Linked DNA regions of Diceros bicornis minor. The protein of the gene in region 1 purifies or fractionates together with the protein of each later gene. This does not show direct contact. Links are inferred from orthologs where the notes say so. Each region holds a gene or a part of one and is shown in the gene's direction. Other genes may lie near its edges.

What was found.
Region 2: the proteins of TOP1 (region 1) and HNRNPC purify together in Homo sapiens (affinity purification with mass spectrometry; 3 studies listed by BioGRID and IntAct, with this or other methods). This does not show direct contact. The link is inferred for Diceros bicornis minor from reciprocal best matches to the Homo sapiens genes TOP1 and HNRNPC.
Region 3: the proteins of TOP1 (region 1) and PARP1 purify together in Homo sapiens (affinity purification with mass spectrometry; 4 studies listed by BioGRID and IntAct, with this or other methods). This does not show direct contact. The link is inferred for Diceros bicornis minor from reciprocal best matches to the Homo sapiens genes TOP1 and PARP1.
Region 4: the proteins of TOP1 (region 1) and PCNA purify together in Homo sapiens (affinity purification with western blotting; 3 studies listed by BioGRID and IntAct, with this or other methods). This does not show direct contact. The link is inferred for Diceros bicornis minor from reciprocal best matches to the Homo sapiens genes TOP1 and PCNA.

What each region holds. Positions count from the first base shown.
Region 1 is NC_080758.1:19,539,294-19,547,379, reverse strand, and holds the start of TOP1 (DNA topoisomerase 1), read left to right. Parts: upstream 1-5,071; 5' UTR 5,072-5,289; coding exon 5,290-5,322; intron 5,323-5,624; coding exon 5,625-5,649; intron 5,650-8,086. UniProt on the Homo sapiens protein: Releases the supercoiling and torsional tension of DNA introduced during the DNA replication and transcription by transiently cleaving and rejoining one strand of the DNA duplex.
Region 2 is NC_080744.1:28,065,991-28,074,001, forward strand, and holds the start of HNRNPC (heterogeneous nuclear ribonucleoproteins C1/C2), read left to right. Parts: upstream 1-4,916; 5' UTR 4,917-5,036; intron 5,037-5,672; exon of another isoform or gene 5,673-5,718; intron 5,719-8,011. UniProt on the Homo sapiens protein: Binds pre-mRNA and nucleates the assembly of 40S hnRNP particles. Interacts with poly-U tracts in the 3'-UTR or 5'-UTR of mRNA and modulates the stability and the level of translation of bound mRNA molecules. Single HNRNPC tetramers bind 230-240 nucleotides.
Region 3 is NC_080777.1:7,604,612-7,612,629, forward strand, and holds the start of PARP1 (poly [ADP-ribose] polymerase 1), read left to right. Parts: upstream 1-4,876; 5' UTR 4,877-4,925; coding exon 4,926-5,045; intron 5,046-8,018. UniProt on the Homo sapiens protein: Poly-ADP-ribosyltransferase that mediates poly-ADP-ribosylation of proteins and plays a key role in DNA repair.
Region 4 is NC_080758.1:33,278,581-33,286,204, reverse strand, and holds the start of PCNA (proliferating cell nuclear antigen), read left to right. Parts: upstream 1-4,538; 5' UTR 4,539-4,706; coding exon 4,707-4,927; intron 4,928-5,839; coding exon 5,840-5,937; intron 5,938-6,099; coding exon 6,100-6,167; intron 6,168-7,624. UniProt on the Homo sapiens protein: Auxiliary protein of DNA polymerase delta and epsilon, is involved in the control of eukaryotic DNA replication by increasing the polymerase's processibility during elongation of the leading strand.

The sequences.
Region 1 (8,086 bases):
CCCTGCAGTAGCTCCACTGTCATTAGGAGAGTGCTCTCCACCTTCCCAGCCTCATTCTCTGGTGTTTCTTCACATTTACCCTCTGCTCCATCCTGACCATCCTGACTCTATTCATGCCCATGAATCTCTGCCTTTGCAGAGTCTGCTCTTCTTTTGCAGATACCTTCCCTTCTCTACCACAAGCCAGCCCCTCCTCATCTTTCAAGGATGGCATCCAACTGTAAGCCTTTCATAATATTGCCCCTGCTACCACCACTAGTGAGTTGGATGTTCCTCCCCCACCCCAGAGTTCCCATAGCAACTGGTGGCTGGCCACCTCTTCCCTGTTATTCCTTGTACCTTATAGTAACAGTTGGGGAATATTTCTATCTTGTTATCAGACTAGGAACTCCTCCAAAATGAGGTTTAAGTCTTATTAATATCTGTATCCCCAGGGCTTAGCATAGTATCTATCTACCTCATAGTCCCCATTCCCTCATTCCTTCAGGAATATTGGTTGAATGAATAAATGTCCTCATCACAGAAAAGATGTCTTCTGGCAGGAAGGCAAAGGAGCTACATGAAAGTGGACTCCCCTCCTTGCCTGAGCCACACGGCCATGCTCTTATATCCTTGTTGTCTGTCCTCTCATTCCATGACTCAAGGGTTGAGATCTTTCCTGTTCTCTTCTTTTTATTCCACAAATTTCAACCTTTGCTGAGCTCTTTCATTACCAGCAGGCCAAGGGTGTTTCTGGTTGTTGCTGGGATTGCCAGCCTGAGTCTCCTTTCTGGGGCGTCAAGTGGGTTCTTTTCTGAGGGTGTCCAAATTTCAAAAGGGCAGCAGGTCCTTAGGCAGGGAGAACTGCCAGAAGACACCGCTGTCCAAGAATTGGCAAAGTCGAGACTGTGCCAGCATCCAAGGTCAAAATGCCAGGAGGGGCACCCATGTGCCATAACAAGAGGGGCCGAGAGCTGGGGCCAAAGGGATAACAGAGGCCTTGAGAATATCCAGGAATCAAGTATAGATTAGCACTGAGTATTATCAGAGCTCTTGGTCTTAAGTGACCCATCAGAGCAAAAGCAAAAGGGGGAATTTATAGAAGGGTACAGGAAAGGAGTGAAATAAGGCCTCAGGAGATAGCAGGAACCAGGACCCTGAACTCCATTAGGGCCTTCTCTTTCCTTTCCTTCCCTTCCCTTCCCCTCAGCCTTCTCTGGCCCTTTTGGCAGAAAATATTGCTAGGACAGCTCCCTAATTTACACACTATAGATCAACCCCGAAGAAGAGCAACCAAACCACTCTCTCCTTCTCAATTCCAAAGTCTCATGGAAGTCGATCTGAGTGGCTCAGCTTAGGTCAAATGACTGTGGCCAGAGGGACAGCAGCATATTTGTACGTTCGTGCACATTGTACAGAGGACAGGTCCCTGAAAAGCAGAAGTTGTTCAGACAATCCCATAGGTGCTCAGTTCTGGGAGCCAACAGTTGGGCCAACGTGATAAGAACAATTTCAAGAGAGTTAGACGCAAACGAGTCGGGGCTGGATCTTGGGCGACCACCTAAATCAGGCGGCCTGAGGTCCAGTCATTCCAAATAGCTCAGTGTCAAGAGGTAGTGTGGAAAAAACCGTTTCTGGGCCTACGTACATTTTGGAGACGCCGCATGCTATGTCCCTGTTTTTAAGATTTATGTAGGTAGTAGCATATGGATGACTCTGAGAAGTCCTGTGAGAAAAGACCTGTTTAACTTTAAATTGCAACAATGTATGTATTTCTGTACCGAGCCCTTCTTTTAGTGGAATATCTATAAATCGTCCACCTTTCACAGTGCATATTTTGGAAACAGGCCTACAACATCAGCTGTCATCTGCTAGTTATTTTTATGGGGGTTGGGATGACCCATGAGAGAGCAGTCTTGATTTAAAGTAGGGCTTCCCAAGCCTCATTTATTTGCCTGTGACCTTCCCCGAGTTTCTTATACATTCCCTCTGTGCTATTTCTTGATATTTTTATTTAAGTCGATGAGCCAACTTTTTTTTTTTAGCCTCGTCCTAAACAGTTACATCCTTAAAATCATGGATTTGATGTGGTGGTTAAATTTTTTTTTCTCATACACACGGAAATATATACATAACGATTAAAATAAAAGCTTGTCTACGCATTACCTACAATATTCTCAAGCACTAGGGGTGGATGGCCCATATTGTGGGGACACTGGTTTGAAGTGTCAGGAGTCAAAGAGTGGCCATGTGGGCTTGGGGAACCAGTCAACCTCCGAGGACTGCCTGCCACACATGCTGGCAGAGAAGCTCAGCCTGTGACTAGACGCCTGGATACCTGCATGTTTGTGCATGAGGACCATGCTTGGTACGCCATTTTGGAGTCTGTGCTCTGTTTTCATGCTTACCCAGATCTTCCTTGGAGATAGCTGGAAAGCAAATACAGATTCTCCCTGAGCTTTGGGGGTGGTGGTGGAGTAGTCGTAGGAGGCACTGTTATTCCTTAAGGCAGTCCTCAAATTATCTTGGCCTAACTGGAGTAAGCACACAGGAACCACACGCCTCACCTGCTGGCCTGGGATTATTCTGAGATGGGAAGACAATGAGGAAAGACACCAAGCGTAAGGTGAAACTGGTTCTGGCAGCTTGCTTGAGAGAAAGAGCATAGCTTTGAAGTCAGGCAGACCTGAATTTGAATCCAAAATGCAGCACTTATTAGTTATGTGTTCTCAAGCAACTACTTTTCTTTTTTGATACTCTGTGAAAATTCCACTATAATCACCATTGTTTAGAGGAGGAAACTGGGGCTAGAGAAGTTGTGCAACTTGCTTGAGGTCACGCAACTAATAAATAGCAGAGTAGAATTCAAACCTAGATTGGTTTGACTTCTATGTGCATGCTCCTAACCACTGTATTCTCCTGCTGTCATTCACTCATTGATTGCACACCTCTTCTGTAGCATCTGTTGTTGGGTGCTGCGGATCAAGATAGACAAGGTCCCCATCCTCACAGACCTTGCATTCAGTAGGGGAGAGAGACATAAAATCACTAATTATCCCCATTAGTAACTTAATAACAATTGTGATAAGCATTACAAAGGAAAAAGACACTCTATAAGGGGCATTTGATCTGGGTGGAAAGGGGAGTCAGGGAGTATTGGAGGGGAGTCACTTTGAGAAAGTGATATTTAAGTTGAGCTTTGAAGCATTCACAAGAATTAACCCCAGAGTGTTTACCACGAGATGTGATAGAGAGATGATTTCAATGGTCCATGGATGAATACTGTTCTTATTTGTAAATTATTTCATAGACATTATTATTCATAGATATTAGGATGAAGGCAAATACAGAGATCAATTTTAATTTTAAGTAATAACAGTGGAAGTGGTAATAGATATGGCAAAATTTACAAAAGTCACACTTGAATTAAGAAAGTTATGCAGGGCCTTGGCAGCTACATCAAGAATTTTTTTTGCCTGTGTGAGGAAGATCAGCAGTGAGCTAACATTCATGCCAATCCTCCTCTTTTTGCTGAGGAAGACCAGCCCTGTGCTAACATCTATTGCCAATCTTCCTCCTTTTTTTCCCCTTTTCTCTGCAAAGCCCCAGTAGATAGTTGTAAGTCACAGTTGCACATCCCTCTAGTTGCTGTATGTGGGACACCACCTCAGCATGGCCAGACAAGCGGTGCCTCGGTGTGCGCCGGGACGTGACCTGGGCGCACTTAAACGCTAAGCCAGGGGGCTGGCCCCTACATCAAGAATTTTGGATTTAGTACTAAGAGTGATGGGAAGTATTGCAGGAAGGGGATAATGGTTTGATCTGCATGTTGAAAAGATCACTTTGGCTTCTGTTGGCGAGCAGTTTGTGAGAGGGCCAGAATGGAAACAGGGACCTCTGTTAGGAGTGTATTGTAATAATCCAAGCAAGAGATAACGCAGACTTGCTCAGGCATGTGGGCAGTGGGGAAATATAGATGATCGATTGAGGAGATGTCATCAGCTGCACTGAGAAACAAGCAAGACGAAGATGTCCAGGGTGGAGCTTTCCTAGCTGGGTGGAGGAGGCAGATGATGAGTTTGGCCCTGGAAAAGCTTGGGAGGTATCCAAGTGTAGATGTCAGGTACGAGGTTGTAGGTCACATCTCTGACACAGTTTAACTTTAGTAAAATAGGCGACCTCAGAACCATTGTGTGCATTCAGAGCGGAGTACTGTAGATGCTCCACAAACGGCAGCTCTTTCTCCATTCATTTCATCTCCCCTCTGCCCCATAGCATGCTAGGGATACAGCGATGGACAGAGCCAAGTCGTGTTTACCCCCGAGGTCCGGTCTCCTCTGGCCCCCTGCCCCAACCCCTTTCTCAGCACAATTCCTGGCTCACAGTAGAGGCTCAATACATGTATGTAGAATGAACGAATGAAATTAGGCCTCATGTGACACAGGGCTACATGTACCCAGCTGAAAACTGGAGCTAAACCAGACCTTCGGTTGGTTGAAAAATTAAAATAAATTTTAGGAAGTGGGCGAGAAATAATCCAGAAGTTGGAAGGCCTGGACAAAGGCTGGGGCGGGGGCTCCTCCTGCCAAGCGGCCTCAGGGTCCAGTTAGCGAGCTAAGGAGAGCTGGTGAGAGCTCTGGGGCCCCGGCTGTCAAGTTACTTGCAGCTCAAGCGATCCAAGAGGCGGCATATCAGCTCGGCCCGGGCCTGGAGCGGTCCCGCCGCGGCCTTTAAAGGCCCACCACGTGGCCGCGCTGCCGGCCACGGTCCGGAGGCGGAGTCCCCGCTGCGCCTGCGCACTGCCTATCAGAGGGATCCGGAGTTCCGAGAAAAGGCGCCGGGAGAGGAAGGGAAGGTTGCTGAGGGTGGGCGGCCGTGGGAGGAGTCGGCTTCTTATGCAAATCACAGAAGAGAGCGAGGGCTAGGGGCGGGGCTTTCGATGCAAAGCCGGGTACGCCTCAGGAAGCGCGAGGGGGCGGGCCCCGCAACCCTCGGCCTCTTTCCGCGAGTCTCTGACGTCGCCGACGTCCCGTTTAAAAGCGGCCGCGCAGGCGCAGTGGGCCGAAATGCGAACTTAGGCTGTTACACAACTGCTGGGGTCTGCTCTCTCCGCCTGCCAGGCAGTCAGTCAGCGCCGCCGCCACCGCCGCCGCCTCAGCCGTTCCGGGAATCTCGGGCCCGCCGCCGCCGCCGCTTACCCACGCCTCCGGGAGCCTCCCGGAGCCCCCGTCCGCCTGCACAGGCCGGTCCCGACCGTCCGCATCCCGTCGGCGCCCCTCGCCGCCCGGCGCGCTCGCCGCTCCGGCCGACATGAGCGGGGACCATCTCCACAACGATTCTCAGGTACGGCCCGGCCCGGCCCAGGCTCCCGACCCCCGGCGCAGGCCCTGGCCCCGGCGCCGGCCCGGCCGCTTTGACAGGCCGGAGCCCCCGGCCGGAGGCGGCCGGCCGGAGGAGATCGGCTCGCTGGACCCCAGGCGAAAGCCGCCAAGTTACAATTCGGGGGGCTGGCTGCCCCCTCAGGCCGCCCGGGGGCCCCTTCATCCCTGGGGGCGCGGGGTGGGCTAGGCCCCCGGCCGCGCGCGCTCGCCGCCCGCGGGGCTCCTGTGCTTGTTGTTTCACATTCCCTCCTTTTCTCTCTCCAGATCGAAGGGGATTTCCGACTGAATGGTGAGTGTGCCCCCGACCCCGAGCCCCCCAGCCGCCGGCCGCCCACCCCGCGCCCTGCCCGAGCCGGGCAGAGGACAGACATGGCGTCCCAGAGACTAAGTCCCGGCTCCTCGCTCACCGGCCCCATTGTTCCCATCGGGCCGCCTCTGGACCCCCTTTCCGGGGACCCCAGCGCCCCCAGATCGCGGCCCTCCCCAGAGGGGGCAACGGAGACCCCGCGTCGCCCGCCGCCGGGCCTCGGGCGGCCTTTCCGGGCCCGGATTCCTCCCGGGAAAGTCGCCTTGTCGACAGTCGGGACTTAGTCTCTGCGCCATTTTCTTTTTCTCTCTCCTCTCCTTTCTGTGGCTGTCTTTCTCTCCCTCCCTCGGCTCCTTCCTCGAGCTGCCCAGAAAGAGCTTTCTGCCGAGCAGAGCCCTGTAAATCACAGACCTCACCCGGGAGGGAAGGGTGGGAGACTCAATTGTTACTGTTTTTCCCGAAGAGAACTTTATTTTGGGGGTTATTCCCTTTCTGCTTCTTGTTGGTTTCCTTTTCTGTTTCCAGAATGAAAGATACCCTTCGGCAAACTGTTGATTTTTTTTTTTTTTTTTTTTTTGGTAAGATGCTTATGATAGGAATTATGGCTCTAAAACGAAAGCCACCCTCTGTGGAGTTCTTCATATTTTGAGGTTGTTTTCCCCAAGTTGTGTTCTTTGCAAAGGTAGTTGTACCTCTCTTCAAAAAGTTTGCGAGTTCTGTATGGGCCATCCAGTGTAAATGTTGGAATGGGGCGTATTGATTTTTTTTTTTTAAATAAAAGTATTACTGACCAGAACTTTTCATGTTGCTGAGGTTCCTAAGGCAATGTTTTTTTAGAAACGCAGTTTAGTGTACTTGTCAGGAGGAAGGGTTGTTGAGCATCTCGTCTGGACCTGGTGTACTGGCGTTTTCTTTTGGGCTGTGGGGAAGGAAAAAAGATTTTATTTAATGAAACAAAGAGTGGCCAGCAGCCACCCCTGCTTCCTGTTCATTCTTTTTCAGAAGCCGCTGTTTTTCAGGAATAGAGAGCTAGCTTGCTTTTCCTGGATCTTTATGTCTTTGAACCCTTTTCAGCCAAATCAAGGCATTTATTCTTTGAGTATTTCCACTTCAGTTACCCAATGAAGATTCCCCCAATAAAAAGCTCACCCTGTGGGCTTTTCAACAATCCTGTTGAAGGAGAAGGTACCCTCTCTAGTGTGCTGGGAATTCCCACTGATTCTGATGGTACATAATCCTGCTCAATTGAGTTTGGGTTCCGGGAACGTCTCCAATGGGAGAAGCTGATGAGTAGGTTTTCTGATGTTGTAATCAGCAGTCCATCGTGTTAGCCTGCTCTACTGAGAGCGGCCTTATGTTCAGCTTTTGAAGTGGGGCATCCAGTGGGAGATGGTACTCTGTGAGGAAAGAATCTGGTTCAAGTGTAGCGTTTCTTGAGCACCTAGTATGTTATAAGCACTGTGCTTAGTGCTAGAGCTGAACCTTCTGCCACAACGCTGCTCATGTCTTCTATCTAGTCTATTGGGTGAGATGTAATTAGTTAATTATAAGGTAGGTACTGGGGTATATATATACCCAGAATGCTTTGGGAAACTAGGGGACTTAATTTTGTCTGGGGGTGGGGAAATTTCTCAGAAGGTGACTTCTGAGCTTGGTGTTGTGCAAGACTAGGTGCTGAGTGTCAGGGGTTGGAGTATTTCTTAACTGTGTTTAGCCAACCTATCAGGATTTTAAAAGAGGGAGATGAGGTCCTGCAGTTCAGAAAGCCAGCAAGAGTATAGATATGTTTCTTTGGGATGTGTGAGCAGAGAAATGATGTGGCAGGTGAGGAGGTAAGAAGTCCTTTTGACCTTTCTTGGAGGAAGGTAGGATCTTCATACAGAAAAAGTGTTCTTTTAACTTTCAAGCTGGGCTGAGTAGGTAATGTATTTAGTAATGAAACAAAGGTTAGTCCTTTCTCCTGGGAAAGTTAACCTCCATGGTTCTCAGCTAAATTATACAAAGGAACTATTGAGTATTTGAATGATTGTGGGCTGGGTAGGTTATTGATCTGTACGGCCACTTGTATAGAGACTAAGTAAACTGGCTATGTGGAGTTTTAGAATGTGTTTGTTTGCTTGTAATAGCAGTAATTACTAATATTTATTGAATGCTTACTCTCTACCAGAAAGGAATCTCAGCTCTTTCCATGGATCATCTAATTGAATCCTCGGAAGGACTCTTATGAATTAGGTTCTGTTATCTCCAATTGATAGGTGAGGAAACCGAGGCTTAGGTATGTTTACTAGCTTGCCCAAGGGTAGTGAATTGGGCACTCCAAAGCTCACAAGCTTAGCCACTGTGCTATATATTTGATTCTAGTATGAAGAAGTTAAAAGCTGCACATCTCTACTTTCTTACAGAGCTGAAAAGGGCGAGA
Region 2 (8,011 bases), on another chromosome or scaffold:
AAGTCTTTCTAATTAAGTCATTTATTTTCACAGTATCTCCTTGAAGGGGATAGAGGCCTATATTACACAGGTCCATAGCATTCTATACTTATCTTTAGTAGCACTTAATAAAATTTATTTTAAGCAATTAATTAATTATTCATTTAGTATTTGACTCTGTTCTGAAGGTCAGGGGCCATGTCTATTTTGTTTACTTCTATGTTCCTGTGACCTGGCACAGAACTTGGCATAATGCTTATTACATAGCACGTACTTCATAAATATTTGTTAAATAAATGAGTAGGATTTTTCCACCTTTGCAAAACTTATATTATTAATAACTTGTAATGGTTATATGCACACATTCTAAAATCAGACTTCCTAGCATTTTTAGCTCCATTAACAACTAGCTGTGCTACCTTAGGCAAATTACTTAACTTCTCTGTGTTTTAGTTTCCTCATATTTAAAATGCGAATAATAAAATTACCAAATGAACTAATTCATGTAAAATACTTAGAAAAGTGCTTGATGCATGATATCCGCTCAATAAAAGTTATCTATTATTTTTATTATTATTAATATGAGGGTGACCAGTAATACTTAAAGTCAAATACTACTCAACCCCAAAACCACTAAATGGATGTCATGATTCAGAATTTCTTTAATCTTTCTAATTTTTTCAAGCTTTGTGGATAAAGATTTTTTGCTTGTTCTTTTATTTTTTAATTTTTAAGCTCAGTGTTTTGGTTATTAAAACAAAAATTTAAAAGTCCCTGACTACAGATTATAATACTTAGGTAAAAATAAATCCATATATACATTTTTTAAAAATCTGTAAACATCTATACCAAATAGTTAAAAATGGATGTTTTTGGAGAATGGATCACATAGGGATTTTCACTTTTTCTGTATTTCAAATTTTTACAATAATCACATATTTATCAGAAAAAAATCAAATAGGATATTTCCATTTGGAAAGCTTTAAAATAATAAGAAAGAAAAAACACACTGGAAGCCTTGAGAAGGTGTGTATGCAACCGAAGTGATGACTAATTTTATTAACAATGTGTAAAATCTTTTTTATAGAATCTGTACTCTAGAAGCCAGATCATCAGTAATCTATTCACTGGACTCTGTATTCCAAATTTCCCTAGTATGATTTTACCCACTGCCAAAGGCTTTTGGAATGAAAACAGAAATAGGTATAATGAAATACTATGTCAGATAACTAGTCAAACAATCAACCTATTCAATATTGTGATTCATACACATACACCAAGCACAAATTGGGGTCCATAAACAAAAGGATTACAGAACAAAACAGTGCTATCCTGTTATGGGATAAATAATGACTACGAAATGAGTTTGAGAAGGGGTGCAAAGTTTGAGAACTGGAACTAAGTTATATCCAGTTTTGTGACGTTTAGATCAATGCCTTGAGTATATAAAATACTTAAAGTCAAAAAAAACCCACTAAAGTATTGGTTGATTAAATAAGCAGTTGAATGAATCATCATGTATTCTTTAAAAGCATTAATTGGGACTTGAGTTGGGTTTTAAAGAATGGTTGGATTATGGGGAAAGAGAACAGCAATGTGGCCCATTGGAGTGGGGACAGCAGGGGCTGCCCAGGCATAGGGCCCTGTGGAGTGGAGAACACTGACAGGTAATGAGACAGTCAGGGAAGGGCTGTGAATGAAACAATTAAAAACGTAGGACTGGAATAGAGAGCTATTACAGGAGTGTAGTGTGGGAGTCACACAGTGAAAGTGAATGCTTTCAGATGATTACCATGACAGCAGTTTGCAGGATCAGCTTGAGGGACAGACTCAAGGTGGGAGAAACAGGATGCAGTAAAAGAGTAAGGGTCTTGAAAGTATTGTGTAATATCTTTATAATATTATTAATATAATAATATTAATATTAGGCATTTCATAGCTATTGCTGCTTTTCCTTTCTTCTTCTTGACAGGTGGCTTGGAATTGGGAGGAGAGAAGTTACAGCGGGTACATTATTCTGGTAAAACGCCCAAGCCACATAAAGCCTTCCTCAAATAGAATTACTTCTTGAATTAAAAATAAAAGTTCAGTTTTGTTTTGTTTTCTCTTTAGCCCAAGGTAAGGAGTTAACTTCTTCTCTGTTTCCTTACCTCTTCCTTCTCTCTCCCTCCACTCCTGGAGTCTGGCTAATGGCTGTCTTTCTACTCTACACAGCCACCCAATAGAAGAAGCATTCACCTTTAGAACTGTAAAGGTGTTTAGAGTAAGCAGAAGAGATCAACGGAACTTCCTTCCCTCCATCTCCCCCACCTAGGTTTACAGAGCCTTAAAACCACTGTCATGAATGTCTGCTATCAACATGGTGCTTAGCGTTCTGCCTTGTATTATGCTATTTTTGCACTAGTTTTCTCATCCTTAGTAAACTCTAAGTTACTTGACAGAGGTACTGATTGTTAATTCTTCATGTATCCTCCATTTTCACCCTACCTAGCATAGGAGTGAACTCCTGGAAAACATAAATGCTGTCTCTTAAGTACTTCTCTTGCACCAAATACAGTGCTGGTTAATAAGTAGGTCATGACAATGATCATGCAGTAAAACTGATTTCTGGTAAAATGAAATAAGTGGTTTTCATTGACATTTTATAGACATTTTTATTCTATGAGAACAATGAGTAATAAAACATGTTAGTGTTTATTTGTGTTTACTTAAGTCAAGAATTACATGAATTACACGTAGACCAAGCCTCACAGTCTCCGGGTCCCTCTGAGTTAAGTGCTATACAAAATATATAATAAAGAAAGGACAGTGTACTTGTTTGTCCTGGGAAAATAGCAATTTCCCCTGACAAATAAAAGTTAATAATTAATTAATTTAATACAAATTTAAAACAATCTCTGTTTAAGGCCCTGTGATATGTAGTAAGCAAGGGGAATACAGAGAGGAATAAAAATTAAACTCTGCCATCAAAAAACTTACCATCCAGGAGCGGAGAAGAGATGAGTGTAAAATTAACCACAGTGCTCTGAAGTAGTTTTAAATAAATTGCAATGTGGGCAATTGAGCTGAGGCTTCAAGCACTTGTAGAATGTTCTCTCTCTGATTTCTTGTTCAAAGTCGACGATTTGGAAAATATAGAAAAGCACAAGGAAGTGAAAAAAAAAAGCACATGTAATTGTCCCACCAGGAGAGAACCACTACTAACATTTTAGTATATTTTTTCTTACACACTTTCTGTTTTTGCTTTTTAAATTAGCTTGAAGCAATACATGCATATGGGAAAAAATTCAAACAGTATAGAAAGGCATACCATCGAAAAAGGTAGAAGGTTCGCTCCCCAAAGGTATTTTGAAATAAATTTCTAGGCCCAAGATGGAGACTCTCATGCTGGGTGACACGTCAGCAAACCGAACTTTCATGTTCCTGTAAACGCTCCAGTTGACCAGAAACGCAGTATATCCAATCCTCAAATACCAAGCCAGCTCTGGGCTATGTACTGTATTTATTTCCGTGTTCCTTGATCTTTCTAAATAAGGTCAGATACGCAAGCCCAGCCGATCATGCTGTTTCCGCCTGTTTCCGCGTGAGGCTTCTGATGCTACATGAACCTGGCTCCTGCCCTCGGCAAGAGTGCTCCACTGCTTGTGAGGCACTGCCTTCTCCCAATCCATGGATTGTTTTCCCTTGAATAAAGGACATCAAATTCGTTACTAAATTGTTTTAGTTTTGTCCTTTGACAGGTAACAGCCAGCTCCCTCGTGAATCGCTCTGGAATTCAGAATTAATTCAAAACTAATGCATAAAATTGCATTCACATACACTTATATCCCTTACTTATTACATACAGATGGAATCACATCATCTAGACAGTGTTTTGCACTTTGCTTTCCCTAATGGCACAGAGAAATCTGCCTCATTCTTAGTAGAGCTGGTCCTATTCCATTGCGTTCATGGCTGCTAATACAACGAGAGAGCCTGGCAGGCGACGACCCAGACGAGTAGATGGGAAACACGCCATTTCAGGATGAAAAGAATTAAGGGACCAGATTGTTTGGGGAGAGAGACAGAGGGGGAAGCCTATTTAGTGGGCATGTAGGGTTTTAGTAAGTGAGATGACTTGGGCCAGAGGATGGGCGCTGTAGCATTCCAAGATTGGAATTTAGACTTTCTTTACTTTTTGTAGTGGAGAAGAATTAGGAAGTCAGTTGGTTTAGGTGAGATATGGATTTTCTGAAGAAGGGCCCGACAGGCTATGAAGTGGAGTTGTCCAGGAGGGAGCTGACATTTGAGTCTAGAACCGAGAAGGGATCTAGGGTTGGAAAAACGGCAGGGCAGGTTAGTTTTCTACACACAAGACTAGGCCTAGTCTTCACTGCTCCCTCCCCACTCCAAGAAAAGTCCTTTCTTTATCCACAGCGCACGACGGAGGATTCACTCTGCGCGTCTCATTTTTCCTAGGCCCGGGGCTGGGGCAGAGCCTCAAGGCCTGCTACCTAACAAAACCCCTGACTCCTTCCCCGCCCCCGCGCCGCGGGAATTCCGAGATCTGGGCGAGCCTTCTAGCAGGCACTCTAAAGAGCAGAGATAGGACACCGTGGCCGCCAATCAGACCTTCCAGATACCCGGATGTGAAGTGGTGCGCGATACAAAGGCGAGCTTCTACCCAGCGCTTCGTCAGGTACAGTGGCCAATAAGCATTTCTCAGGCGATAAATGACAGGAAAAACAACCAGTTACAAACTAGCTTCTCTCACGCATGTGGAAATTCTCTTGCTTAGTCTAACCCACTACTGGTTGTGATTGGGCAGAATCGTGAAGAGCGGTAGAACTGTCTAATTAGAAGCGGGAGCGAGAAAAGTCGCAGCCAATAGGAAGATTCCTAGAAGTGGGGCGGGGGCTAGGCCTTCTCCTCGGCGGCAGAGGAGGCTCGGGGGCCATTTTGTGAAGAGACGAACCGGTTGCGGCCGCGTTGCCGACCTCGAGCAGCAGTCGGCTTCTTCACGTAGAACCCGGGGGTAGGAGATTCAGAATCGAATCTCTTCTCCCTTCCCCCTCCTGGTAAGTAGACGGGGCGGAAGCAAGGGAGGCGTTGGGTTCCTCGGGGAGCGCGAGAGTGTGCGGGAGAGGAGACGAGGGAACCTTCCCCTCGGTAGAGTAACCAGGCCCCGGTTTATTCTGTTGGCACTGGGGGATTGTGTCTTATGCTGGAGAGAGTTTTGTAGGTCTCAGCGCTTGCGTAGATTTAGCCTAGTGTCCTCTAGGCCACGATCCGCAGGGAAAACGTCCTTTTTCTTTTTCGCTCCCTGTGTTAACGGCTGCTTTCCTTTCCTTTTCTAAAACCATGAGGACTCCAAGAGAGATCGTGGAAGGAAAGATCGAGATGCGCATTGATATAGTTGAAGTTAATGTAGTACCGCTGTTTCCTGTTAAATTTAAAAATTGGGCGGGGGTTGGGGGAGGGTTGCAGAGTACATATTGTGCCGCAGGCCTGTAAATCCTGGAGCGTACCGCAGGGCGTAAGAATAACGAATATTATAACAATAGATTTAACATTTTGTTGCTTTTTATTTTATTCCTCCCTGAGCAAAAGATGGACCTCGAAATGGTTATTTTCAATTCTATTTTTAAAAAATATTGTAATCTCATTTACATATTAACAGTAATAATTAAAGCTGGCTTACTTTTTATCTGCAGGTTACAAATCACTTGAAATATATAAGTTAGTGGAACTTTGCTTGAGGTAGGTATTACTGTCTTTCTCAGACAAACTGAGGCGTAAGAGTGTTGGTTGCCAGGGTCGTATTAAATCAGTGAAACTGGTAAGGAATTTGATCACATACGATAGTCAAGTGGTTTTACCCACCTATTGGAATACTAGGTGCTAAAAGTAGTATATTATCTGGATGTTTACGAGGTCCTAGTTACAGCAACCACTAGCGGTAACTGGAAATTCCCAAACTGCACTTGGGAAAAATATTTACGAGAATTGCGTTTGTTGTTAATGTAACGTCCTGATAAACTTAAAATTTGACTTTCAGGGTATTCTCATATTAATTTTCCAGACCATCTAAACTTTAACAAAAATGCATGACTAAATAGTTTTAGGCACGTATTATAGTGCCTAGTATTTGCAAGGTCCTGAAACATGATTAAAAATTTTTGCTAAGCTTATAAAAATTACATAGGTTTCTAAATAGCACCCCTTTCACTTTTCTGAGAAATGGCTTTTTTTATCCTGGTGTAAGATTTCATTGATTTTATTTTTCTTAGTGTGTTAATTCTCACAAAAACTTATGTTATTAAGCACAGTTTAAACCAACACTGCAGGATAAATTCATCCCTTAGGAAACAAGTCTACTTGATAGAAAATAAAAGTAGTCTTATTATAGATAGCTATGCATTTGTTGATCCCTCACCGTGTAGATACTGTGATGGGGATTAAAGGCGTTGCCTTTATATTTTTTTAAGCCTAAACATATATATTATTATATGGGCTTAAAATTAAAGTTTATCCCTCTGCAGAACTGTTAGAAATGAGGTAAGAGCAGTGATTGGTTAATTCAGGAGATCATAGACTTAATAAAAATATTGCTGGCAAATAAAGAGAAATGTAAGGAATTAATGTTTAAGAACAATTATTGATAAGAGTTGAAATTATTTGAAGGGCACTTTTTTTTGCCTTAAGGTGTTAGAATTATGGGTTCCTTGAGATCGGCATGTACCAAGGTAACAGTTCCTTTGAGGTAATATTCATCTGGAATGATGTGGCCACAGGATTAATATCTGAAACAATTCTAGATGTGTTTTCAAATAGGTGGGCATTAGTAACATTTTCATGTTGGCTGGAGAGGAAGGATTTAAGTAGGATGACTTAAGTTGCACGTCTTCTGACCTTTTTGTGTGTTTCCCATACTCATGCCAGGGGAATGCTTGGTGTCCTGTTTGCTATTCCTTCTGTAGAGAATTAAACATACCATGTATTTGTCATTAGGTCTCTAGAGGGTTTCACATAGTATGCGACCTTTGTTTTGGATGGAATTGCTGTTAGAAACAAGCAAGGAATAAACTCCAAAACAGCTAGTTATTCTAATCTTTAAGATTAATTATATTAACTGGTGAATGTGTGGGATGTAAATTGGGGAGTGTGACAGTTGAAAGAATTTTGGCCTAGGAGTTAGAGAACTGGATTTTAGCCCCTGCTGGTTATTAGCTGTGTCAGGCAAATCAGTTAAACTTTCTGGGTTTCAGTTTTATACTTATGAGGGGGTTTAGACTTGTTACCTTTGTTAACTGCTGATTTCTATAACTCAAGTTATTTGTTGCTGGGTGGCTGAAAAGTATACAGAAATAATTTTATTATTAAAAGCAGTTTTTTTATAATAGTAATTTTTGTTAACTGCCTTAATATCAGTATTTTAGTCTTCAAGTAATTTTATTAGTAGTAGTTTTTGGGGAATAGTATTTGCTCATACTTTATATGTATACTCATTCATTCTCATTGGGATCAGGGAAGATTATGGTTTTGTACGTATTAGGTTTACTAGAGAGTTGACCATGGTGAGAACCAGAGCTATTAGATGTAGCATAACTACATGGATTTTCTTAGATATTGGAAATTTGGGATTTATAAAGGGAAGAAGGATTACTATAGGATTTTTTTATCCTCTTGGTGCGTTTATTATGATAGGTTATAATGTTCTTGGATTTATTTTATATCAATCTTAAACTCTTCACAGTGGTTCTTGAACATGAGCTGACATCAGAATCAGCAAGAGGGCTATTTAAAACAGATTGCTGGGCTCTCCACCAGTTTCTGATTGAGTCTGGGTTGTGCCCCAAGAATTTGCATTTCTAATTAAGTGCCAAGTGATGCTGGTTGGCAGACCTCGCTTTGAGAATACCCCTTTCGAGGAGGAATCGGAACCTCCCAGAGATTTGACAGTTTAATCTAAGTATGCTGTTGATTGCAAAGCTTTACAGTTAGGTGCTAAAGTTGTTTGGTCTTTGTTTATGAGTGATAGCTCATCAATTTA
Region 3 (8,018 bases), on another chromosome or scaffold:
TCTCCCCCTCTTTCTCCACATGTCTGTAGTGAAGCCCCCATGTTCTTACAGGACATACCTCTTGGTCCCTGTTGAATGATCCAGGGGTGGGCATCTGACCCACCCTGGTTTCATCAGAATTCTTAGCTGGAACGTCTTAAGTAAAACTGAAGAAAAAAGCCCCCCCTGGTGGTAAGAACCATAAGAAACAGAGGTCGGGAAACATCGGTGGCCTTGATCTCTGCCACGTGTGGTAGAAGCCAGTCTCCCGTGAGAGGGAAACATGCTGCAGAGAAAAGCAGAGACAAGAAGCAGAGACACAGTCCTAGAGGCATCTAAGTCCCTGGGTCCTCTCATCTCTACAGTCCATCAGGTTTTAGTCCTTCCCATAACTTGGTTGATTCTTCCTTCTATTCTATTAGATACCCTCGTATCCCTTCCCAAAACTTCTCTTTTGGGAGTTTTAATACAGGAGTTCAACAGAGGGTTTTGAGCAGGGTAGAAGTCATAATCAAATTTATTAAAAAAAAAAAAAAAACTTTGGCAATGGATGTGTTGGAAAAGGGAGAGAAGAATAATGCTGAGGGGAGAAGTGGTGAAGACAATGGCAGTGGGAGGGATTGGAAGGGTCAGGAGAGGAAGCAGACAAGGCTTAATGGGCAAGTCCCTAGACCTTTCCAGCTTCATGTTCTTATCTGAAAACTGGGATTTAAAAACACCTACCTAGAGACATTGCCAAGGCAAGTGAGAGCTGATGGGCACTGGGCCACTCTGTGCCTCGCTGAGGAAAAATAACTAAGCACAGGCAAAGGAGACCCTAAGAAGCCTAGAGGCAAAATGTCATCACAGGCATTCTGCGCAAACTTGCCAGAAGGAGCACAGGAAAAAACATCCAGACGTTTCAGTCAGCTTCTCAGGATGTTCTTTAAAATGGTCAGAAAAATGGAAAGCCTTGTCCGATAAAGAGAAAGGAAATTGGAGACACGTCAAGAGTGGACAAGAGCCCTTGTAGAATGAAAACTTGTATCCCTTCTAAAGCAGAAACAAAAAATTCAGGGTTTCCAATGCACCCAAAAGGACTCCTTTGGCCGTTTCCTCAGTGTGTTCCAAGGATCGGCCAAGAATCAAAGGGGATCCTGGCCTGCCCGTAGGCAATGATGTAAAGATCCTGGGAGAGGGCCCTCCCAGTGGCACAGAGGTTAAGTGCACGTGCTCTGCTGCAGCGGTTTGGGGTTCGCAGGTTCCCATCCTGGGTGCGCACTGACGCACTGCTTGCTAAGCCATGCTGTGGCAGCGTCCCATATAAAGTAGAGGAGGATTGGCACGGATGTTAGCCCAGGGCCAATCTTCCTCAAGAAAAAAGGGGAGGATTGGCATCAGATGTTAGCTCAGGGCTAGTCCTCCCCACAAAAAAAAACAAAAACAAAAACAAAAAAAAAGAACCTGGGAGAGACATGAGCCACAGCGCTGCAGATGGCAAGCAGCCTGAGAAGGCCGTTCAGCAGAAGGAAGGATCTTGCTGCATCCTGAGCTAAAGGAAAGCTGATGTGGCACAAAAGGATGCTGTCAAGGCTGCTCACAACTAGAAAAAAAGGTAGAGGAGAAAGACAGAGAAGGAGAGGAGGATGAGGAGGAGAAAGATGGAGACGACAGAGTTGAAGACGATGATGATGAAGAATAAGGTGGTTCTAGGTCAGCTTTTCTTTCTCTTTCTTGTCCATTAAGCATTTAACCTCCATAATTCATTCCTTTAAAGAATAAAAATTGAAAGATAAAGCTGTATAAGATATGTTTTTAAACTGTTGTGGTTTTTTTGATATTGTTAACAAGAATTACCAAGTAATTCTTTAGACAACCCTGACCTGGTGGTATTTTCAATAGCCACCAACCTCACCGGGGATATAGTATGCGGGTTAGGAGTTCAAAGCAGGTTCTCGTTGGTGCACAGTACAGATTAACTAATCTGTTATACATGGGCATGGTAGTTTTATCAACTTCAATTGTCTCTCACGCAGCTTGTATGAAATAATTGTTGTTCTGTTAACTGAATACCACTCTGAAATTGGGGGATAAAAAGTTACAGCTGTTTTGTGGACAATCTGAATGCTTCTAAGTAAATACAGTCATTTATTAGTTTTTAAAGTAACCTATTTCATAGCATTATAATGAGGAGCAAACAAACTTATGTTTATGAATGCCCTTTATAAAATACAAAAATCTATATAAGTGTGAAGTACCGTTATTATTAAACAATTGGGCTGTGCAGAGGAAGTGTCAAAGGTGTGATTCATTCATTCATTCAACAAATATTTTTGAATGCTTGGCACTGTGCCAGGCACTGAGGCTAGTACAGAGAGCAGAACAGATAAACCCCTGCCCTGGAGGAGCTTGCATGCTGGTGAGGGAGACAGACAATAAACACATGCATATGTATAAAATACGCTGTTAGGAGTAAGAAGTAGAAAGAAGAATATAAAGTAAGACAAGAAGATAAAGACAGTGTGCAGAGACTAAGCATCTTAGCTGGAGTGGTCATGGTAACGTGTGAGCAGAAGCTGAATCAAGAGAGGAAGTGAGCTGTGTGCTCGCTGGGTGAAGACTGTTCCAGAAAAAATAAATGCAAAGGCTCTGGGGTGGGAGTGGGCTTGGGGTGTCTGAGGACCAGGCAGGAGGCCAGTGTGGCTGGGGCAGCAGGAGCCCTGGGGAGAGGGTGATGATGATATCAGAGAAGTGACCAGGGTTCAGATTCAGCCGCAGGAAGAACTTTGGATTTTATTCCCAGTATGAGGAGAAGCGTTTGGAGGGTTTTGAACATGGAAATAATACGGGTTGAGATCTAAAGCGACCTCATGTGTTTTCACGGGAAGAAAAGACTGTAGGAGGGCTGGCCTGGAAGGAGACCAGGCAGGAGACTGTGGAGGAACCGCAAAAGATGATGGCACTCCACAGCAGTGCTGATGGGAAGGAGGTGAGAAATGATTGAAGTCGGAAAGTCAGGATTCGGTGATGGATTGGATGTGGGACGGAAGAGAAAAGGAGTCAAGTCGACTCTAAAGCATTTGACCTACACAATGTGGAGAATCGTGGACCATTTCCTGAGATGGGAAGCACTGGGGAGATTTTGGACATTGTTGGAGAAGCATATATGACACCCAAACAGAAGTATTGACTAGGCAGTAAGATATGGCTGGCTCTCCCTAAAATTCTACCCAGGTATTCCTAATCTTGTGTGTGTTTGCCCAGGACCCCATTGCGGGTGCAGTGAGGTCTAAGAAATTCTAATGCGATGGTAGCTTCCAGATACGCTATCAGGCAAGCTGTCCCGGAAGTCACAAAACAGAAAGCCTCACAGACCAAATTAAGACGCTTGAATTACAGGTTTATTGAATCACCTGAAACACCTGATTTAAAGTTCCTGCAGCAAAGGGAACAGCATGGGGCAGATAACACACACAGGACAGGGAACAGGCAGGCGGAAGGACCATACCACCTGAATGTCCATATGTTCTGTCTCTCTCTCTCTGCTGCATCAGCCAGCCCCCCTGATGATGGGGTCACGAAGACCAGAGCTGAGGACGCTCAAGGCTACTCAATAGAGGGTACCTGGAGCCACTTCACAGTCACCTATCAGAGAGACACAGGGGCAAGTACGCCTGGACATGGATGTAGTTTGTCAGTCAGCCTGCTGAACAGACATGGGTTTTATCTGTAACTCTTGCGCAAATCAGACGGAGCCAGAACGGGACCATAATGTTATCACCAATGAGAGGCCTTTTAGGGATGACATAGTTGTCAACCCAGACGTGGGATGATCATGCCTTTTGATTTGGTTACTCTCTAAGTAAAATTCTTATTTGTACCATCATATATTCCACCTATTCTATTTACCTTCGACATATCTAACAGGTCATGAATTTAGGATTCTGCCTGTGTCTCATAACCCACTTGCCTACTCCACACCCAAGTCTCTTAAGCTACTAGCTTTCTTCTTCTCTATGCTTAACAGGTTTTATGAGTCTCATTCATCCCGTTTCCTTTTCTTGTCCTCTATAGCAGAACTGAATATTCTCAAACACAGCACTCTCCGTTATAATGTTTTAAATGAATAAAATACAATGCATAGGGTTAAAAAAAAGAAACCAGTTATATAAAAACATAGTTCTACACTAAATAACGAGATCTAGTACCAGACGGTGTAGTAACGACAGCAATTGCAAGTAACGATGAACTTAATATTTTGAGTTCTCTCCAACAACTGTAAAGGGCCATGAAAACCTCTGTGATGACTACTGCCGACATAGTCACAGGTACTGCTAATACTCCCAGGATTTGCATCCATGCATTTAAAATTCACAGTGAAGGAGATGCTAGAGCTCAGTTCGTACTCGGTCGGGAAGGTCTGCGGACTGTAGTTAGAACCCCCGCCGAGGGTCAGCCAGCGTTGACCCCTCTCTAGCAGAGCAACCACATTCCCGGGCCAGCCGCGCGCCTTCCAGACCTGGGCGCGCTCCGGGGAGAAAGGACACACTTATTAAAAGGGATGGAGGTGGAATTAGTTGTGAGAGCACGCAAGCCTTGCTGGCGACGAAACGGTTAAGCAGGCGCCACCAGGTCCCTCCGAGACCTCCTCGCGCGCGGCCTGCCCGGCTCTGCGCGCAGCCGCAGGCGCCGGGGAGGCGGCACGCCAGGGCCGGCAGGGGGCGCGCGCCGGGGCCCCGCCCCGTGGACGCGCGCGCGGGGGGCGTTCCCGCGGCGGGCCAGGCATCAGCAATCTACCCGGAGCGGCGGGGGCGTGCGCGGCGTGCGCGGCGGCGGCGCTGCGAGCTCGGGCGCCGGCGGGGGGCGGACGGGCGCGCGCGCACGCGGGGCGGGCAGCGGCGGCAGCGGCGGGGCTCCGGGGCGCGGCGTCGGGCTCCCGCGGCTGCGGCGGCGCGAGGACCGGGAGGATGGCGGAGGCCTCGGACAAGCTCTACCGGGTCGAGTACGCCAAGAGCGGGCGCGCCTCTTGCAAGAAATGCAGCGAGAGCATCCCCAAGGACTCGCTCCGGATGGCCATCATGGTGCAGGTGCGGGCGGAGGGCCGCTTTGTGCGCGGCGGGGGCCTCCGCGTGGCCGGGGAGGGGGCAGGGCTTGCGCGGAGCGGAGCGGCGGCCCGGGCCTGTGGGCGCCGCTGCCCCTCCTCCCCCGCGTGGCCCGCCGGGCGGACCCTCCCGCAAGCTTTTGCTGATCTTGCAGGAAAAGCCCGGGAAATGCATTCTTGAGCTCGTGGACCCCTTCGGTTTGTAAAAACAAGGAGCGGTTTCTATTTATATTTCTGGGGGGTGGAGTTCTGGTTTTTTCATTGCCCTTCGCCTCGGGGGGAGAAAATGTGTGCACGGTCTTTGGAACCTAGTCAGGTTTTGACCTACCTTGTCCTGGAAGATTTTTTTGTCCTACATTGATGGTGGCGACTGGCGCGGGAGGATTTTTTTTATATATCTATTTTTGGCTCTTTCAACTTCGACTCACTCTCATTTTTTTTTTAATTATGCAAAACCACACAAGTCGGTGTCATTTCTGTACAGGGCATTGACTTTTGGCCTAATTTGTGGTTGAAAATAACATTTTCCCCAAACTTTCCAGGTTCACAGACGCATTTTCTTCTTGATGCATTTGCAGCTATCTGGTTTGAGTAAGAGGGGCTCCGGGATTCCTCACCTGGGCCTCTTGACACATTGGGGATCCCCCCTGCCCCGTGTTCCCTGAGGCTTCAGAGATGGCTAGTGGGTTGCTGGGTGGGCTGTGAGCTGTGTCTGAAGGCCCCTGCTGACGCTGAGGGGTCCCTGCCTCCTCCAGCTTCCAGCCTGCTCCTGTCTGCCGGTGTAATCTTGGTTCTCATCTGCTCTGTCATCTCCTCCTCCAGCTTAAAGCTGTCTGTTATCCAGACTTGGTGCATAGGGTCAAGATGGCTTGGTTTTCCCTCCCTGCAGGAGGGCAGTAGCATGTTTTAGGAATGGCTGGACAGCCCTCTCTGGATTTCCACTTACGAGGTGGAAGAGAGTGGGTACCGAGTACTTAGGGTATCTCATTTTGTAATGTGTTAGGGACTGAGGCTGCCATCTCGGTATCCTCAGGGCCAACCTAGCTCAGTACTCGGCACACAGTACTCATTCCGTGAACACTCACTGAGCGCCTGTTGGGTTCCAGGCACTGTGTCAGGTACCAGAGGCACAAAGAGAGACTCCACCTTTGGCAGCTTCCAGTTTTGTTAAAGGGAAGGTGACTGATGAACACTGCTGTACCTGGGTGGGTGCCACCTGATGGAGCTGTGCATTAGGCATTGTGTGCCCAGGATGGGAGCTTGATTAGAAGTCATTAGTCCCAGTGGCAGGAAGTTGAGGATGGAGAAGCAGGCGAGGCCTACCACTTGAAGAGCCGTGTCTCCCACTAAGCATCTTTGAACTTGACCCTGAGTGTATGGGCGGCCTGACCTTACGAAGCTCCCTCCTAGTGCAGGGGGCTCCTAACCTGGAGTCTGGGATGGCGGATAGAACTCAAGAGGTCCCTGAGTTTAGATGATAAATTTACATCCCTATGGTCACTAATGTCTAGATTCAATTCATTATTTCCTCCAGTTATGAATGTAAGCAGCAAAGCAAAGGCCTAATAGCAGTACCTTGATTTTTGTCATCAACAGTAATTACAGATATTTTCATATCATTTTACGTTTGTTGGGAGTTTCCCAAAATATCATTTATGCTCATCACTACTTCAGAATTACAGTAGGTATTACAGCGGGTGCTAGATCTCTTTATTTAATGCTTTAAAGCTCGTGGATTACTGTATCCCAGTAAGCTTTTTAAATGTTTTGATAACTGTTTCAGTATATTTGGTTTCCTTGGTGAACCTGTGTATTTTGTTATGCATTTTTAAGTGTTATCCAAGGAAGGGACATGCATAGGTTTCACCAGACAGCCCAAGAGAACCCTGTTCTATTGAGAAGGACAGACAGAAACCCCATATCCAGCCAGTGTGTAGAGGCAGGAAGGGCACTGTAGAGAGGAGGGCTAGCTGTGTCTGGGGGAGTCGGGGATGGCCCCATTGAGGAACCGACTCCTGAACCAAATGAAGTTTAACATTCCGGGCCCTCGTTTGGCATACTTGATAGAGAAAGAAATTATTATTAAAAGTAAGTGTGGTTTTCTGTAATAGTTGGTGGGGGTGGAGTTTTAATCCAGAAAGTAATGTTGGTTTTGTTTGCTGAGCTGGCAGAGGCCAGAAATAAAGAAGCCATTCTTCTCCTACTTGGATTTAAATACCTTCTTTTGCATTTGTATGGGAGGATTGTTCTCTTGAGTATCAAATACGTGATACTTTAACTGGCTTGCCCGGGGGCAGCCTCAAGGGGACGGGACTTCCAGCCTTTGGACTGGGAGGGGGTTGTGGTGGGCTCCTGTGTTGTTCTGTCTTGGGAGGGCTTCAGGCACCCAGCGTGGTCACATACAGGGAGGTGACAGTCATTCTGCTCTCTGTTGGGTAGGCGGGCAGTGGTGTGTCCTGTTTTACGCAGAAGGAAGCAGACAGGGCAGCTGAGTGAGGACGCTGTTACGGGGTAGGTTCTAAGTGTTTGCTGATTACACAGCCAAAGATTCTGCCATGCTTGAGCTGTGCGGCTGCCAAGCAGTCTTGTGACCTTGGTCTGGTTCCCTTCCTGCCATGTCATCCTGAGTCCTAAGTTCTAGGGTAAAGCTTTGCTTTGGTCAAGGATTCTTTCCTCTCGAGAGAGAATGGGGGCCCTTACAGTGCCCCAAGCCTGTGCTATGAGTACACCTCTGCTGCTTGGCACTGCCCCATGGTTGGGGGCTGGTGACGCAAATAATCCATAGTCAATCTATAAATCAAAATTGGGGTGAGTTTGTTACCGCACAAAGGGCACAATCTGCTTGCCATGAGACAGAAGCCAGTCGTCAAGAGGCAAGATGGTGGCAGAGAAAGGGTGGTTTATTACAGCTTGCTAGCAAGGGGGAAGATGGCGACTAATGTCTCAAAGAACCTTCTTA
Region 4 (7,624 bases), about 14 Mb from region 1:
TGGAATACTATTGTTTATACTGTTTCATAACATGACTTTTCTCTTTATCATTAAGTGCCCTTTGAGAACAGTATTTGAAAGGCTATATAGTATTCCATCTTACAGATTTACCATAATTTACCTTACAAAGACCATATTTTTAGACCTCAAGGTTATTTCCAATTTCAGGAGAATTGTTAATAATTCTATAAGAAACATTCTTAAACATGCTTCATCTTAGTGAGTATCTCTGGTTACTTCTTTAGAAAAAAAGTCTAGAGATTGAACTTCTGTGTCAAAGAATAAACAAAATTCTAAGGCTTTCCATACACATTTCCAAATTACCACTAGAAAAGTCACACGAATTTGTACTCCCATCTTCAATGCATGAAAGCGCCCACTTCTTTGAATCCTTCCTAATAAATGGGTGTTAACACAATTTTTATTATACAGTATGTTAAAATTCTATCTCCCTTTAATTTATATTTCTTTGCCTATTAATACAGCTAACCAGGGCCAGCCCCGTGGCGTAGCCGTTAAGTGCACGCACTCCGCTGCTGGTGGCCTGGGTTCGGATCCCGGGCGCACACCGACGCACTGATTGTCGGGCCATGCTGTGGCAGCGTCCCATATAAAGTAGAGAAAGATGAGCACGGATGTTAGCCCAGGGCCAATCTTCCTCAGCAAAAAGGGGAGGATTGGCGTGGATGTTAGCTCAGGGCTGATCTTCCTCACACACACACACACAAATATATGGCTAACCATTTTTTCATACATTTACTAAGACTGGGCCTTGGACACTGGAAGCCAGATACCTCTGGCTTTTGTTGAGATGTATAAATTTTCCTTTTCTCTTCATCAGTTTGAATTGGGTTCTCTGTCATGAAAATTTAAAGTGTACTATCTGGGCTGGCCCCGTGGCTTAGCGGTTAAGTGCTCGCACTCCAATGCTGGTGGCCCGGGTTCGGACCCCGGGTGCGCACCGACGCACCGCTTCTCCGGCCATGTGAGGCCGCATCCCACATACAGCAACTAGAAGGATGTGCAACTATGACATACAACTATCTACTGGGGCTTTGGGGGGAAAATAAATAAATAAAAAATAGTAACTAATGATTAGAATTTATAAAAAAAATAAAGTGTACTAACCAACACAGCTCTCTTAAGCATACCAAAGTTTTAAAACTTATGTATGTCATTCTTTATGTTTGACAGGTTTTTCTTTTTATGTTTAGATGTTCACAGAAAGATGTCATAAATATTTACCAAAATACTTTTCCATTTCTTACTGGGTTTACATTTATTTGAATTTTAATTCTTTAATCTATCTGAAATTTATTTCAGTGAACAGTTATTAGGAAGAATCTATAGCTTTATTCTTTCCTAGAAGTTTTACCAACTGTTTCATCATAATTACCTAATTCATTCTTTCTCTCACTGATTGGAATAGTACCTTTACCAGATGTTAAAGTGATCTCTTAAAACAAATTAGATCACATCAAAGACCTTCTTTGGATAACTTTCCCTTGCATTTAGAGGGCTTGCAAAGTCCTATGAGACTTCACCCCTGCCTCTCTTTGCAACCTCATCTTGCACCACTCTTCCTATTGTTCAATGGTGTTCCAGACGCACCAATCTTTTTTTTTTTTTTTTTTTTTTGTGAGGAGATCAGCCCTGTGCTAACATCCGCCATTCCTCCTCTTTTTTTGCTGAGGAAGATGGCCCTGGGCTAACATCTGTGCCCATCTTCCTCCACTTTTATATGGGACGCCACCACAGCATGGCTTGCCAAGCAGTGTGTCGGTGCGCTCCCGGGATCCGAACCAGCGAACCCTGGGCCGCTGCAGCGGAGCGCGCGCACTTAACCGCTTGCGCCACCGGGCCGGCCCCCCCCCTTTTTTTTTTTTTTTATGAGGAAGATCAGCCCTGAGCTAACATCCATGCCAATCCTCCTCTTTTTGCTGAGGAAGACTGGCTCTGAGCTAACATCTATTGCCAATCTTCCTCCTTTTTTCCCCCAAAGCCCCAGTAGATAGTTGTATGTCGTAGTTGCACATCCTTCTAGTTGCTGTATGTGGGACGCGGCCTCAGCATGGCCGGAGAAGCGGTGCGTAGGTGTGTGCCCAGGATCGACCGGGGCCGCCAGTAATGGAGCACGTGCGCTTAACCACTAAGCCACGGGCGAGCCCACCAATCCTCCTCTTTTTTTGCAGAGGAAGACTGGCCCTGGGCTAAACATCCGTGCCCATCTTCCTCCACTTTATATGGGACGCCGCCACAGCATGGCTCGACAAGCAGTGCGACGGTGCGCACCGGGGATCCGGGCCCACGAACCCTGGGCCGCCACAGCGGAGCACCCGCACTTAACCACTTGCGCCACCAGGCCGGCCCCAGACACACCAATCTTTGAGTTCTATTATATGCCAATTATATCTCAATTAAACATATCCCCTCAAAATCTTTGAAATCTAAAACTACTATCTTAACCCCTTCTAAGCATGCTGTCCTTTTAAAACATACTAGTCTTTCAGCCTAGAATACTCTTTCTTCCACTCTCCAAATAGCTAGCTTCTCTGGTAAAATGCTACCTCCTTGGAGAGGCCTTCTCTGACCACAGGTCATAGCCATTCATATGCCCTCATTTCAATTGATCATGTGCATTGTGGGTACCACATGGGTGGAGTTTAATTGCCATTTAAAATGTCTTCAAATCTACTACACTTTGACTTAGCATTAAACCAAAATTTCATTATCTAAGCAAAAAGCACAGAAACAGAGTAGCAGAGTATACCTTTGTTATTAGTGAAGCGAATGTTCCTCACTGGAGAAATGAACACATTCCATGTTTTGCAAAGGAATGGAGACTCTAAAAGACCTAAGAAAGGAAAATACTCACAAAAAGATGAAGCTGTTATATTTTGATATATAGATGTATGCAAAAGGATAACTGATCACACATACAGCAAGAAAGTGCTAGTATCAAAATTTACAAATGGGAAATCATCAACAAAATGAAAAGGCAACCTACTGAATGGGAGGAAATAATTGCAAATCATATATCTGATAAGGGGCTAATATCCAAAACATATAAAGAACTCATACAACTCAGTAGCAAAAAAACAAACAACAGCAATTGAAGGTATCTTCAATTAAATGAAATAGACACATCTAATAGCAATGCCAGAGGGAGGGAAAGACTGAGGAAAGGCAATATTTGAAGCCATAATGGTTGAGAATATTCTAGACATGATGAAATACATGAATCTTCTTATTCAGGAACACAAAATTCCCTGAACAGGATAAATAAAACCAAATCCTAGATATATGGTAGAAAAACTAAAGAATTCTACAGACCAAGATAAGATATCAACCGCAACTAAAAGGAAATGCTGTAATCAAAGCAAAAGAGAAACAACAAGGGGATATATATAATATGGAAATGATTAATATAATATATAAAGTGCTCCTTTTAATCAATAGGAAAAAGTTCAATAGAAAAAGTATAAGCATGCAATAGTCAAGAAATATATGAGAGGTCCAACCTGTAACAATTTTTAATATGCAAATTGAAATTTTCACACAAATGAGCACAAATTTAAAAATGAGATTGCTAATATCTATAGTTAGGAAAATAAGGGGAAATGAGTATGCTCACAGTCTTGGCTGGAACATAAACTGCAATATTTTAGCTGTCAATTTAGTAACACTTACCAAAATTTAATATGTATGATCTTCAACCCAGCAATACTACTTCAAGGAGTTGAGCTCAGAACAATCACCTAAGTGCCCAAAGGTATTCGTAATTACAAGAAATCCGTAAATTAGGTTACATACATAGGATATTATGCCATCTTTTAAAAAGATACTGATACAAAACAGATGAACGTGGCATAAAACATACTTTATTAAGTACATTGCAGAAGTGTTAACAGGATGAACCCATTTTTGTTTTTAAAAATATGTATTTGTACAGAAAAAAAGGTTAGAAAGCAGTATAAAAGCACCGATTGCATGGTATGAGCTTGGGGGGGTATGTGGCTTAACTTTATCATAACTTTATCATAACTGTACACCTCTTTATCGTTGGACTTTTAGGAGCGCGTGACTTCTATAATAGCAATAATAAAATGCACATTTAAAGCAGCTGTTCTCTTCAGGCTACAGGCGGGTTTTCCTCCCGGTAGGCTGGATTTGTGTTTCACTTTCACTTGCGTGACTGGAAACTCTTTATTCCCAAAGCCAGAGGTTGAGGAGGCACCATAAAGCTGACGCTCAACAACTCCTGGCCCGGGCCTGGCCCTCACTATGCCCGGACTCGTCCAGCGTCCAGACTCCGGAACAGGACAAAAAGGCGGGGAGTCCTGCCTGACCCCGCCTCTTGGCCCGGGGAGGCGCTGGGTTCCCGCCTCCACCCCCTCATCCTCCAATGGATGTTCGGGGTGGGCGGGCTTTGAGCGGAGGAGGCACGCGACTGGCCCCGGAGTCTCTCCACCCAGACGGTGGGCGGGCAGCGTGGTGACGCCTCGGCAAGGGGCGCAGGGGCAGAGAGCGCGCGTTCGCAGACGCGGCGGTGTTAAACGGTCGCAGGCGGGGCAGGCGTGTGATTCTCCACCCTCTCGGGCTTTTGCCGCTGCGTGCGCTCGCTTGCTTTCATTCTGTGAAGCCTAAGCCGGCTACACCTTCCTCCTTTCCTTTGACTGTAGCCGCTTCGTTGCGACTCCGCCACCATGTTCGAGGCGCGCCTGGTCCAGGGCTCCATCCTGAAGAAGGTGCTGGAGGCTCTTAAGGACCTTATCAACGAGGCCTGCTGGGACATCAGCTCGAGCGGCGTGAACCTGCAGAGCATGGACTCGTCCCACGTCTCCTTGGTGCAGCTCACCCTGCGCTCGGAGGGCTTCGACACGTACCGCTGCGACCGCAACCTGGCCATGGGCGTGAACCTCACCAGGTGAGCCGCAGGGCGGCGGGGAGCCGGTCCTGCTCCCCGCGACCCCAGCTCTTGGCGGGAGCGCCTCCGAGCCGGGTCCTCATTGGCCGGCGTGGGCCATCTGTGCTTTGTCATTGGGCTGCTGTGCTGGGGGGCGGGACCCAGCGCAGCGCGCGGTTCCGAAAGCCCGCGCTGGCGGCCGCGCGAACCGGCTCTTTCCGCGCCAAAGTCACAAAGCGGTGGTGGCGGGAAAATGACGGGCTTCTCTGCGGTGCCAGGAAAAGACTGTTCCAGAGCTCTTTGGTCATTGGGTGCCGGGGGCCTTGGATGAGAAACCTTGGTCCCGGCTGACTTTAACCGCTTTATAACGATCTCTAGGCCTGTCTCCTTACTTAGGGACAATAGGTTGTTGCTGGTCTCTTATTATTACAAAGTTGCAGTGAGCACCCAAGGTCTTGGATTTGAGGAAAGATTTCTCCAGGGCAGTGGCTTTCAACTTTTGGTCACTGTCTAGCACATACACATATTTAAGTTGTAAAAAGCTTATGAGAAATATTTACCCATGCTACATGCAGTGTGTTTTAATAGGTGTATTAATTAGATCGTTTATAATGGTCATCGCGGCCCAATAATTTACTTCACCCACTAAAAGAGATTTGCAATTCAGAAAATATTGCTCTTTTATTTATATCCAGAAATGAAACTGCTGGTGGTACGGTGTGGGCTTTTTAGTTTAAGTGCAAATACTGCCAAATTGCATTTCAAAAGGGCTGGAACGGTTTCTACATCCTCCTGCAGTACATTTACCTCACTCTCGAATTCATCAGACAGCCTAATGGGTAAAAATGGTAATTCCTTGTTTTAATTGCTTAGAAATCTAATGATCTTGAGAAGATGGTGTCGATTTTAAACCCTGTGTCTTCTGCGTTCTAGTATGTCCAAAATACTAAAATGTGCTGGCAATGAAGACATCATTACCCTAAGGGCTGAAGATAATGCAGACACCTTGGCACTAGTATTTGAAGCTCCAAGTAAGTCATACTCTTCTACTGAGTTATGCTAGAGAAAATTAAAATGTGTCAGTATTTCTCAAAGCTGTGAGAAATTTAAGATGATGTTTATGATGCTTGTAAAATTTACATTATAGTTATAAACTTACATGCTTTTCTTCAACATTTGCTTTCTTTTGGTAGATCAAGAAAAGGTTTCAGACTATGAAATGAAGTTGATGGATTTAGATGTTGAACAACTTGGGATTCCAGTGAGTATCGAAGTTTTTTTGTTTGTTTTTTTTTCTTCCTGAGGAAGATTTGCCCTCAGGTAACATCTGTTTCCAATCTTCCAGTCTTCTTCTTTTTTTTTTTGGCTTGAGGAAGATGGTAGCTGAGCTAACATCTGTGCTGATCTTCCTCTATTTTGTATGTGGGTTGCCGCCACAGCATGGCTGACAGTGGTGTAGCTCCATGCCCGGGATCTGAACCCACAAACCCCAGCCACTGAAGTGGAGCATGCCAAACTTAACCACTAGGCCACGGGGCCAGCCCCTCAAAGTTTCTGATTGAGTGTACTGTACATAGCCATGATAGTTACACATGTTAATATAATAATTTTAAAGCCTACTTCCTAATAGAACTTTTTCTATATATCTGCTGATGCATGTTCCAAAGTGGGGTTTTAGTATTTAGACTGACACATTTGTCATTTTATTATACTACAGTACTCTAAAATGGATCATTTGTTGAATTCGTTGCTGCCAAGTGTGCATATTTGCATTAACCTCCATGCATGTTTTTTTCCCCTTAGAATGCTTGGTTTTTGTTAAGACTAGGTTTATCAATGTCAAAGGAGAGAAGAGGTGTTGGGATGTTTAAAATACCTAATATCAGTGGGCCGGCTCGGTGGCATAGCAGTTAAGTGCGAGTGCTCCGCCGCGGCAGCCCAGGGTTCGGATCCCAGGCACGCACTGACGCACCGCTTGTCAAGCCATGCTGTGGCAGCATCCCGTATAAAGTAGAGGAAGATGGGCATGGATGTTAGACCAGGGCCAATCTTCCTCAGCAAAAAAGAGGAGGATTGGTGATAGATGTTAGCTCACGGATGATCTTCCTCACAAAAAAATAAATAAAATATCTAATATCATATTCTCTTGTTTTGTTTTGGGAGGCAGGTAGGCCTGCTTGCACCATCATTGTTTGCAGTTTGTATGCCGTTCTCTAATGTCCTCTTGATTTAGCCCTGGAGGGTTATTACAGGGAGGCTCTAGTTCCCTGGACAGTGCATTTAGTGTCAAAGGTTTAACTTCTTATTTGTTTTCTTATAACATATGTATTTATATCTGCATTTATTTTTTGAGTGGTTAGATTGTGTTAGGGAATTGCACAATGAGTGATATTTTTCAAAATCAGAAAATCTTAAATTCTGAGTTCTTGGTTTGTTTGTTTTTGAGTTTTTTGCTGAGGAAGACTCACCCTGAGCTAACATCCGCTGCCAATCCTCCTCTTTTTTTTGCTTGAGGAAGATTAGCCCTGAGCTAACATCTGTGCCATTCTTTCTCCATTTTTTATATGTGGGTCACCTGCCACAGCATGGCTGACAAGTGGTATAGGTCCATGCTCCGAATCCGAACCCACAAAACTGGGCTGCTGAAGCCGAGCGTGCGGAACTTGAATCACTCAGCCACTGGGCTGGCCCCCTGAGTTCTTGTTTAGATGCTGATTC